3 linked regions of the Xenopus tropicalis genome follow. The protein of the gene in region 2 binds, or shares a complex with, the protein of the main gene of each other region. Links are inferred from orthologs where the notes say so. Each region holds a gene or a part of one and is shown on either strand. Other genes may lie near its edges. The genes, in order: kcnip1, kcnd2 and kcnip2.

The links.
Region 1: the proteins of kcnd2 (region 2) and kcnip1 are in contact, whole or in part, in a cryo-EM structure (PDB 7E8E), measured with the Homo sapiens proteins. The link is inferred for Xenopus tropicalis from reciprocal best matches to the Homo sapiens genes KCND2 and KCNIP1. Residues at the interface, in NP_036413.1 of Homo sapiens: Ala2, Val5, Ala7, Trp8, Pro10, Phe11, Ala12, Arg13, Ala14, Ala15, Ala16, Ile17, Gly18, Trp19, Met20, Pro21, Val22, Ala23, Ser24, Gly25, Met27, Ala29, Pro30, Gln33, Arg35, Lys36, Arg37, Thr38, Gln39, Asp40; in NP_001030009.1 of Homo sapiens: Thr60, Arg62, Glu63, Val66, Leu67, Arg69, Gly70, Phe71, Asn73, Glu74, Phe85, Ile88, Tyr89, Gln91, Phe92, Tyr101, Leu105, Phe109, Phe122, Leu126, Leu129, Leu130, Lys137, Thr141, Leu144, Tyr145, Val162, Ile165, His185, Phe189.
Region 3: the proteins of kcnd2 (region 2) and kcnip2 are in contact, whole or in part, in a cryo-EM structure (PDB 7UKH), measured with the Homo sapiens proteins. The link is inferred for Xenopus tropicalis from reciprocal best matches to the Homo sapiens genes KCND2 and KCNIP2. Residues at the interface, in NP_036413.1 of Homo sapiens: Val5, Ala7, Trp8, Leu9, Pro10, Phe11, Ala12, Arg13, Ala14, Ala15, Ile17, Gly18, Trp19, Met20, Pro21, Val22, Ala23, Ser24, Gly25, Pro26, Met27, Pro28, Ala29, Pro30, Trp55, Asp57, Arg61, Arg100; in NP_775283.1 of Homo sapiens: Arg112, Gly113, Phe114, Asn116, Glu117, Cys118, Val123, Phe128, Ile131, Tyr132, Gln134, Phe135, Phe136, Tyr144, Leu148, Phe152, Phe165, Leu169, Ile172, Leu173, Arg180, Trp183, Ala184, Leu187, Tyr188, Met201, Met205, Ile208, Met211, His228.

Annotation. Positions count from the first base shown.
Region 1 is NC_030679.2:32,024,369-32,028,023, reverse strand, and holds part of kcnip1 (Kv channel-interacting protein 1), read left to right. Parts: intron 1-1,049; coding exon 1,050-1,154; intron 1,155-1,740; coding exon 1,741-1,803; intron 1,804-3,655. UniProt on the Homo sapiens protein: Regulatory subunit of Kv4/D (Shal)-type voltage-gated rapidly inactivating A-type potassium channels. Regulates channel density, inactivation kinetics and rate of recovery from inactivation in a calcium-dependent and isoform-specific manner.
Region 2 is NC_030679.2:69,236,096-69,239,750, forward strand, and holds part of kcnd2 (potassium voltage-gated channel subfamily D member 2), read left to right. Parts: intron 1-1,617; coding exon 1,618-1,795; 3' UTR 1,796-3,655. UniProt on the Homo sapiens protein: Voltage-gated potassium channel that mediates transmembrane potassium transport in excitable membranes, primarily in the brain. Mediates the major part of the dendritic A-type current I(SA) in brain neurons.
Region 3 is NC_030683.2:31,291,777-31,295,431, forward strand, and holds part of kcnip2 (Kv channel-interacting protein 2), read right to left. Parts: intron 630-3,655; coding exon 559-629; intron 114-558; coding exon 6-113; intron 1-5. UniProt on the Homo sapiens protein: Regulatory subunit of Kv4/D (Shal)-type voltage-gated rapidly inactivating A-type potassium channels. Modulates channel density, inactivation kinetics and rate of recovery from inactivation in a calcium-dependent and isoform-specific manner.

The sequences.
Region 1 (3,655 bases), about 37 Mb from region 2:
AACCCGTTTGCGAACTTCTGCCAAAAAGTGCGAACTTTTGCGAACTTTGCGAACCCCATAGACTTCAATGAGAAGGCGAACTTTGAAACCTAGAAAAGCCATTTATGGCCAGAAAACTAATTTTAAAGTTGTTTAAAGGGTGCCACGACCTGGACAGTGGCATGCAGGAGGGGGATCAAGGGCAAAAATTTCTCTGAAAAATACGTTGTTGTAATCAGTAATCAGAAAATAAAAGCAGTCCTTACAAGGAATATTGGGTTACCGCAGATGAGATCAGAAGGACAGCTGCCCACAGCAGCTACATACAGAGCAGTAGAAAGTAGATTACTAGTCAGCAAAGCTACCTAAACTGTCCCTCAAACCCCTGCACAGCTCTCTCCCTATGCTAACTCATCAAGCACACACAGGCAGAATGTAAAATGGCTGCTGGGCTTCGGTTTATATATGGAAGGGAGTGGTCCGGGGGTGGTCCAGGAGGGAGAGCTGCCTGATTGGCTGCCATGTATCTGCTGGCTCTGGGGTGAGAGGTCAAAATTTGGCTCCAGCTAAGGCGAACCCAAAATTGCGAACATCGCTAAAAGTTTGCGAACTTGCGAACTTGCGAACACCCGATTTTCGTGCGAATTAGTTCTCCGGCGAACAGTTCGCTACATCTCTATTGAAGCGTTACAACCCTGCACTGTGTTACTGACATCAAGTTTACTTGATGCCAGTAACAAGGCTCTTTAATATACAGGTATGGGACCTGTTATCCAGAATGCTTGGGACATGGGTTTTTTTAAATAAGAGGTCTTTCAATAATAGTTTTATGGATAACGGGTTTCCGGATAACATATCCCATACCTGTATTTTATATGTAATAAAAGGTACTAAGTTTGCCCAGATGCAATAACCCATACAGGTAGAAGTTTCTGGTCACCAGCATCTTATTGGTTGCTATGGGTTACTACTACTTAGTGCCTTTTAATACATAACCCCCAAAGTTATGTTTTACTCTCACACTTGCTCCTGTTACAGTTAGTTGTTTTACTCTTTTGGTTCTTACTTAGGAAATGATGGATATAGTAAAAGCCATATATGATATGATGGGGAAGTACACCTACCCAGTCCTTAAAGAAGATGCTCCAAAACAACACGTAGAAGTATTTTTTCAGGTACAGTATATTGTTACAACTAATTTAATATCTACAAGTCCTTCTCCATCATGGATTTGGCTAACTTAGTCCAATTAAGGCCATACATGGTTGGCATATTTTTAAATCCCAGGTGCATGTGTTTACACCTATCAACACTGAATCTCATCTGCCACTTAACTGCCCTGTCTGCTGGCTTGTCCAGCTCTCCCTGTAAGGGAGATGTTACTAATAAGGCTTCCACGCTGACACAGTGCTTCTAGCCAGAATAGTCTTTGTGTCCACATACTATTTATTCCTATGGGATTTTTAGAAGTGTATTTATCAATGGATAACTTTCACCCATTGCTAAATACTCTTCTGAAAATCCCATAGGAATGAACAGAAAGTGGGCGAGTTTTTATGTATTAAGCTCTACACTCACATTTTGATAAACCTGCTCCTAAGTTTTGAAAAACTAAAACCAAATAATTTTGTTAATGGAAAGTGATAGAGGTTATGAATTATAAAAGTGTTATTTATTACTATACTCTTTATGCGTGTGTATTCTTACTAATGTTTTTAGCAGGAGATCTGTAATATTCACCGGCAGCATTTTATATTTCAGAAAATGGACAAAAACAAAGATGGCGTTGTAACATTAGATGAGTTCATTGAATCTTGCCAAGAGGTAATTTGTTTTGTTCCTAGTTAGGTACAGAATTGTGGAATTATCTGCATCACACTACAGTGCATATGTCTATGCTGGCACAGTGTTTACACTGTACTTCAGTACAATAAAGGAACCAAGTTCTGGAATTTAACATTTTGTAAAATGATCCACTTCTCTTAGACGTTTGTCAATTTCACACTGTAAATGTAGAATAATTGAACCCCACAATCCTTTAGAACAGGATCATACAAACACCAGACACAGAGTAGGGGCAAACAGACATCAATATTTGTACTGTAAATTAAGCCATACTGTATGTCTGATGTCATCTGTGACACCATCACTTATGTCATCTTTCATGTGACTTACGTGCAACCTTAACAGCACAGTTTGAGGTGTTTTGTAGCCTAATAAAAAGCTTTAAAGGAGCAGTTTAGTGTAAAAATGAAACTGGATAAAAGTGATAGACTGCGCAAAATAAAAAAATGTTAGTTAGTTAGCCAGTAATGGAATCTATAAGGGCTGGAGTGGATAAATGTCTAACATAATAGCCAGAACTCTACTTCCTGCTTTACAGCTCTCTAAGCTGTTAGCAGTCAGTAACCAATCAATGACTTGAGGGGGGGCCATATGGGACAAAACTGTTCAGTTAGTTTCCTTTTGAATCTGAACTAAATGCTCATAAACTAACTGAACAGTTATGTCCCATGTGCCCCCCCCCCCCCCCCAGTCACTGACTAACTAAGAGGCGCTAGAGAGCTGTAACCAGGAAGTAGAGTTCTGGCTATTGTGTTAGACATTTGCCCACTCCAGCCTTTATAGATTACATTTTTGCCTAACTATATAAGAAACATTTTTATTTTGCTCAGTCTATCCATTTTACCCAGTTTCATTTTAACACTGAACTGTTCCTTTAATTGTGCTTTAAAAAAATATGTGTGTGTTTGTGCACATTAACTGCAACAATAACTGTGCTGCACACTCAGAAGTTTGTTATTGGTGCAGAAATTATTGAAGGAAAAAACAACTTTCAGCTTGCCTTCCTCAGGGACAAACAAACATGGTTCCCAACCCTACAGGAACACACACACCCCATTCCCTTCTGTGCCGCGAAAGGTGCCATCAATAAGAGTTGAGAGGGAAACTACTATCCACTTTGCGGTGCTTGAAAAAAAAGCTCATAAACAAATAGAACTCATAAGCGTGAAATGTGTCAAGAAACACATATTATGAATAAATGATATAACAGTGTACAGAGCTAGAGAACAGTATTGTCTGGGGATTTACCTACAGTCCAAAAATAAAATGTTAGTAATGAAAAAACAGAGAAAAATAGAAAAAAGGCAATGAAAGATTAACTTCACCGTTGTGGGTGGCACGGTCCCCTAGACAGACCAACCCTCAGTCACATGATGTGTTGCAGAACACATTTATAAAATATGAGCATCAGGGTTCCATTAAGTCTAACATAGGCCACCCCTGGCCACACCAAGGACATGTCTCTGCCCGTTGTGCCAGTCCCACTGATAACAGCAGTATGATCTTCTCAATCATCTGATCAAAGAATGCCTGTGTTTTACCATACGGAACAATTCATGAACTTGGCTACACATTCTGTGTAATGTGACAGTTAGTTCGTAATCAGTTTAGCATTGTGAATTGGTCCCTAAGCTCAAGTAACTGACTGCTGCCCAGAACATGCATTGGGGCTGGTACAGAAGCCCAAATAATTAGATCCCGAGTGTGCAAAATATATATATATGCATATAGATCAACAGATATGAAATAGATATTAAAATAGATACAGTCAATGTTGCATTCCCAATTGTACCTCCAACTACCCCTTTCCACTACAGACTGCGCATTTGCT
Region 2 (3,655 bases):
TGTATGTGGAGGAAAAGGAAATAAATGACTACATGGGTATTATGAATAGTGACCTTAGGACTGATGAAAAATGCTGAATGAGTTATCTGTTATAAAAATGAATTTAAAAGAGCAGTAATGAAAATACATATGTTCTGCCACCAAGGAACAAAATTATATGCTATTCAGAATTTATTTGTGCATGTGCCATTTCTAAGTATACTTTGAGATATATTAAAGTGATACTGACACAGGCCTATCAGTGATATAAATTGTGTCCCACTAATAAAGTCCTTTGTAAAATTACCAGTACCAGGCCCAGCACTGCCTTTGGGACTAACATTCTGACATACTGACCCAGAGTCAGATCTGCTTGCACACAGGCTTTGTAAAGACTTAAGTAAGATGTACTATTGTACCTCAGCTTATAGGAGGGTTGTGAAAGTACCACATTACTGACAAAGTGTTCTGCTTTGCAAGATGTCAGGCAATGTTAGACCCTTGGGTAATGTTGGGCTGGGCGTTGATTGCATGAAAGAGTAGCATGTATCATTGATAGGAATGTGTTAGCACCCCTTTAATAGCTGGGGAGAATACCAGCTAAGTAAGCCATGGCTTACTGCATACATCCACTTAGATTTCATTGTGCGTTATTATGCTTTAAGTCTTCTGCTTTCTATGGTATACTCAGTCGATATACTCGTATATAGTTTTACAAATTTGGATTTTTCATTTTATGGACTTTTTATACACTACTGCGTACTTGTCAAGTCTCCTCTCAGGTCAGGAACCTTCTTTAATAATGTGTATTGTGGTTGAATTAAAGAAAGAATAGGCTGAACCTAACAATAGATTTCATAAACCAATAAACCCCACAAATCTGAATTACTGCAGGCCCACCAAGCAAGCTAAAATGTTCACTGTTTCCTGAATCCTGTAATTTGTTTGAGTTTGAAAAGTCAGTTAATATGTGCTCTACATTATTGGCTTCTCTTCCCAGACTTGTATATCATGCACGTTGGCATATGTTAAGGTAGCTGGGATCCTGTGTTTTAACTCCCCCTGCTATTTCAGCACAAGACTATGCTATTGATTCTGTGGACTTCCACAACCGTAGCTCATTAAACAAAGAATAATATTGATACTAATTATTAATACCCAGAAAGTTCCGAATTACAGGAAGGACATTTCCCATAGACTCAGTTTATTTTCCAATTTTCAGAAATGATTTCCTTTTTTCTCTGAAATAATAACAGTACCTAAAAACAGTACCTAGCACTTGATTCAAACTAAAATCGAATTAAATCTCATCGAAGGCAAAATAAACCTATTCGGTTTATTTAAAGTTTAATATTTATTTATTTTAATGTTTTGCCTGCAATAAGGATTAATTATATCTTAGTTGGTATCAAATACAAGGTACTGTTATTACATTATTACAGAGAAAAAGGATATATGTTTTACAATTTTGATTTATTTTATTAAAGTAAAGTCTATGTGAGACAACCTCTTCTCTAACATGTATGAAAGAAGGTTTGTTTACCAGATGTATGTATTAGCACAATATTGAATTAAATGTCTGGCAGTATCCAGAGCATTGGTGTCTAACTTTTCTATGCTCTTATCTCTTTGTGCCAGCCGATCCAGCTTGAATGCAAAAGTGGAAGGAAATGTTAAGTTAAACTGTGAGCAGCCTTATGTGACTACAGCAGTAATAAGCATCCCAACACCACCAATGACTACACCAGAGGAAGATGGCAGATCAGAATCCCCTGATTACTCACAAAGGAACATTGTAAGAGTGTCTGCTCTATAAACTTCATACCAGAAGGATTTTGTATTAAATGCAACATGAGCCCCACAATCCGCTCCAAAGGAAAAGATTTTTCAAGCAGCAGTTTATTTGCATAATCGTTAAAAAAATAACAGGTCTAAACAATGTACAGGGACAATGCAAGATCTCCCAGTGCACCCACAACTCTGTGACTAAGTACATAAGCACAATGAATGTTCCCCATTGATGCTTTTTCTCAGATGCAACATTTTTATATGAAAAATGAAACCGTAACACCCTCGCTGAGAGTATTAGGGAGAAAAAAAAAAGCATTACAGAAATGGAAACATTTTGATAACATTTTTCCCCAGAGGGAACAATGAACTTTGCATAAAGTAATGTGTATAAGAATACATGCGCAGCAAACCTATTTGTACTTATTTAAATGACATCTGTAATGCATGCAAACATCCTTCGGAGCAGAGATCTGAGATAATTGAAGCTGTTTCCACCAAACACTGTTTTATGTGAAAAGACCCTTTCAGCGCTCTCCTAACAACAGGATGAAAAATGTTTACAGTCGCTAAACAAAAACAAACAGAACTGTTTTGGAAACTAAACAGGATTTATTAAGGTATTACGGCAGAGTTAGCCGCTGTACAGGAATATGGATTTATTAAATTTCTGTTGTTGTTTCAGTAACAACTGCAATAATGAATTGTCCATTTGCAACATCAGGAATCCAAAAATTTATTTCGAAAATTCAACATTGAGTATAGATAAGTGCTTTTCAACACTTACAACAATTGGCCGATCTATTTACTTTTGGTGAGGGCATGGTTTTCTTTTTTTTTGTGTTCATTAAAGGATTATCACTTTGAGAAGGTGACAGCTATATTAGCTTAATGACATTTGAAAATGAAAGATTTCCACTTTGAGTCCCTTTTTTGTGTTATTTGAATATGCATGAAGAACGACTGTTTTTTTGTCCTGGATGCTTGTAAAAATGTTTTCCTTCATCTGTATTGTTTTGTAGTGCAGGTTGTGTCAGAATTCACATTTCTAAACAATTGTGAAATGAAGATAATTTAAACTGTCTCTGAATATTAAGAAACAAAAGAACAAAATGTATGAAAAGCATAGGACCAACAGAGCAGAAAGCAGTAGGAGAAAGCTTGATGAATGGGTTCTTATGACTTGCATCTATTTTCTCCTGGATCACAGATTTAGATGGTGTATAGATAAAATTCAACATTTACATTGGACACTCATATGTGTAACACATTTTAAACCTTTCTTGTGGATAAAGGGGCAGCCAAGGAGAGCCCCATGAAGTTGTAAAGCTTATTAGACTTCAACCAAGAGCTGGTTTTATAAAAGGTTACATTATTAACACCATCTAAAAATGTGCTCATTGTGCAAAATATGGCCAAATGGTGGCTTTATTGATTTCTGCCATTAAAAGGCCAAATCCCAAAACAAAGTACAGTACTCTATCATTAAAAAAATATATAGATAACATGTTTTAAATGATGATAAGCGGAAATGCAATGTCCTATGCCAAATACACTGTGAAGCCATTTCTCTATGCTAGAGTATATACAGTTCCATCTAATTTAACCAAAATATTTATGAGCAACAATTAAGGGAAGGCATTGTATTCATTTATCCCCTGAAACTGTACTATAAATACTGTACTTCAGAGAGAAATTATCTTAGTATTTATTCTATCCAATATTTTCTCCTTTGGCCTTTAGATGTTATATATATATATATAGATATTACATTCAAATAAAAAAGCTAAATATATATAATTTTCTATTATACCATTTAATATTTACTTGATTTAAATTGAGTTTCTTTTATTAATTAAAATAAACTAACACAGGTTATGTAATAACA
Region 3 (3,655 bases), on a different chromosome or scaffold from region 2:
AATACCTCTTTAGTGATGCAGCCATCTTTGTTCAAGTCATACAAATTGAAGGCCCAGTTGAGCTTGTCATCTATAGTCCCCCGTAAGATCACCGATAACCCCGCTACAAAATCCTGTAGGAAAGAAAACAGAACAGTGATATATAGGAGAACAAAGTAATAAACATATGATCCATTAAGCAGTATAATGTATTCAACTCCTTTATAATCAGATGTTTGATGTATTAGGAACAATAGGTTCTGACAGAGCGTTTCTCTTAAACGAAATGAAGAGCTTTTCTAAAAGATACGCCTTTCTTTTTTAGACATTATGACAACCAGAGCACATTTTTTTCTGAGAGAGAGTCAAGTAAATGGAGTGCTGGCTTTCTAGGGAATACCAATAATAGAATTCTTCTACAGTTACGAGAATCATTTGGCGACTGAGTCTAATTAGAAAGCCCTTTCACTCCCCACATGGGATTTGCACAGTCTTTTTAGAACTTGTCCTCCAAGCATTGACACACATTTAAAATAGAAAAGTTGCAGTTCTTTTACTCACGGAACAAAAGGCACATACCTCAAAACTGACAGAGCCGCTGTGGTCAGTGTCAAATGCGTTGAAGAGAAAATGAGCGTACATGCTGGAATCTAGAACATAACGCAAAGCAGACAGACATCATTTGAGATAGAAAGCAAAGGAGAATCAGGAAATGCCCCTACCATACCCTATTTATAATGCAGTTTTTGGGATAGTTCAGTGATTCAGACCAACTGCACTTTGGTATTTAAAGGAGAAGGAAAGGTGGAACCACTGGGGGTGCCAAAAGTTCTTCTTAAGCACCGGCTGCACATGTGCAGTACAGTGAAAAGCTTTAAAAATTGGCTTTTTGATTCTACTGTGCATGCATGGGCCCTGCGATCGCAGCAAAATGATAAGGAAGGAAGAGGATTGCCCATCTCCAGGTACCCCAGGCTGGTGCGATTTTCTGTTAATAGAAGCACCAGCCTGGGGTATCAGACAAATGATCTTACCCACAGGGGGTGCCTACGATTTGGCACCACACAGTGATTTTAACTTTCCTTCTTCTTTAAAGGAGAATAAAAGTTTGAGAAGAACCCAGCCCCCTCCTGAACTGCACCACTAAAGTTGGCAGCCATATATCTCCCCCCTTTAGGTTCCCTTCATTCTCATAGTAGCATTCAGCAACTCTCTCTCTCATCCTTTATTCCTCATCGTTCTGCCTTTCCTGCCCCCCACAGGTATATGAACAGCAAGTCAGCACAGGGCCAGAGTTAGAGAGTTACACCCTAGGCATATGCCTCTTATACACAACCCTAGTTCCTGTCCTGGTCAATAGGAGAATTTTCAAAAATATGGCCGTCATTCTGCTCCATGAAGTGTTAAACACCCCTTGACAATGTTACAAGTGGGGATTAAGGACCGATCCTAATCTTTAATCAACATAGATATATTGTTAAATATGAATACTGCATATGAAATGTTTAGTGTTTGTGTATCGAGTGTTAACTACAATTGGCTTTATGTCTGCAAGGAAAACTGTTGTGACAAGGACAATTCTTTGTATGAAACATAACCACAAAACTAGGAGTTTTTATATGAGTCAGTATAACTGTCAGCATTTGGTTTAGTGATTATAAATGTCATTTTAGCCATTAGAGAAAACCTGCCTCTAAGTAGGTTACAAATTCCCTGTTATCACCAGTTTGCCTGTACATAATAAGATTAATAATTATATAGGTAATTGAATCCATTAGCTAAATCCTGCTCATAAATCGGGTGGGTATTGCCTTTTATCACCAGCCTGCTTGCAGGTAATTTGATTATTCATTATATGTGTAATAGGCACCAAATATCATTATATCTTTCAAGCTACAGTTAATGGGTGTAAAAGCAAAACCATGCTACACACGGGGTTACAGGGGATGAACCTGACCCCACAAACCAGACTGGAACAGTCTCTCTGAATACAAATCACTGTCATTAAACATGAAGCACAGCACCTTCTGTATATTCTGAATGTGGCATTTATAGCATCTGGGATTGGCAAAATCTATTTTAGGGGGCTGTCTGAAATCTAATTTAATAACCCTTAAGATAGATAATATGGATACTTTGTGTAATTTTGAAATGAGTTACCTTTTGGCATCTATCTGCAGTGTCACATAAAACAGATGGAACACAAAGTACTGAAAATTGCTCAGTGGAAATTACTTTCAGAATTGTCTCTTTGGGGGTGGCTGAGCTACCATTTGTAGGGCTAGCAACTAGATAGTGCTGGGGATTTGCCCACCTTCAGATCCGCTCGCTTGGCAACATCACCTATGGGTGGGCGATATTGGGAGAATCCAGGCTAATTTGGCCCTGGGGCCAAACGATCGAATTATAACGACGGGTATAGGCAAAGTCGGTTCCAACTAGATTTTTTAACTTGCCGATTTCAGGCCAGATATCAGTCGGGCAGTCCGTCGGGAGTGCCCATACACGGGCCGATTAGCTGCCAAATCGGTCTAAGGGACTGATATAAGCAGCTAGAATCAGCCCATGTATGGTGACCTTTAGGGCTCTGGTACACGGGGAGATTAGTCGCCCGCGGCAAAACTCCCTGCTCGCGGGCGACTAATCTCCCCGAGTTGCCTTCCCCCTGCCATCCCACTGGCGAACATGTAAGTCGCCGGCGGGATGGCAGACGCGGCAGCGCGATTTCGCGCAAATCGCAGGGGGAAGGCAACTCAAGGAGATTAGTCGCTCGCGAGCAGGGAGTTTTGCCGCGGGCGACTAATCTCCCTATGTACCAGAGCCCTTAGGGTCATTTACACCAGAGACAGGGTACAAAGTGCAAAACACAGTCAGGATTTTAGATTTTGCACCCTGCCTTCCATGTCATATGAATTGGCACATGTCTTTCATTTAGAAACAAAGAGACCTTTGGTCGTCCACATATATAAGCTGTGCCTTGAATTGGCAGTGCTATATTCATCTTTTAAAGATGGTATCAGTACAGAATTATACCGTAAACCTACTGACCGCAATAACATCCTATCACCAGATAGCTTTCACTGACCCCATATCTTGAGAGCAATTCCAAAGGAGGGCAAAAAGGGTTTGCTCTACAGCAACCATATCAGAAAGCAGCTATCAACTTGATAACCAAGTTTAATGATAAGGGAGGGGTATGATTACAATTTTATTACACAGGTTGTTAAACCAGTAAGACAAGAGAAAAGACAAAGCCTGTAAAAGAAAGAGGAGCTAGAACAGAATACTGTTTGTATCAAAATATAGCACCTAGAGCAGGAAAGTGGAAAATATCATTAAATGATATTGACCCATAGTACTACAAGATAAGACATTGGACAAATTGTTTAGTGACCTTCCCTTGTTCAGTTACGCTAGAGGCAGGACACTTGGAAATATGTTGTGTTCAGCAGATTTAAGAAGCCCACTGAGTCGCCAAAGGTTTTGTCATTTTGTCAAAGAGTTTATGCTACTTGTGAAACTATGAATGCAATTTATTTAATTATTTAAGCCTTTGTGGTAAAGCATATGTTGGTCAGACAAAACAAGAAGTGAAAGAAAGGATTAAGGAACATAAATAAAATAAGACTCTTCCTTGCTCTAGACTGCTATTGTACAGTAATTTCCTGTGATAATC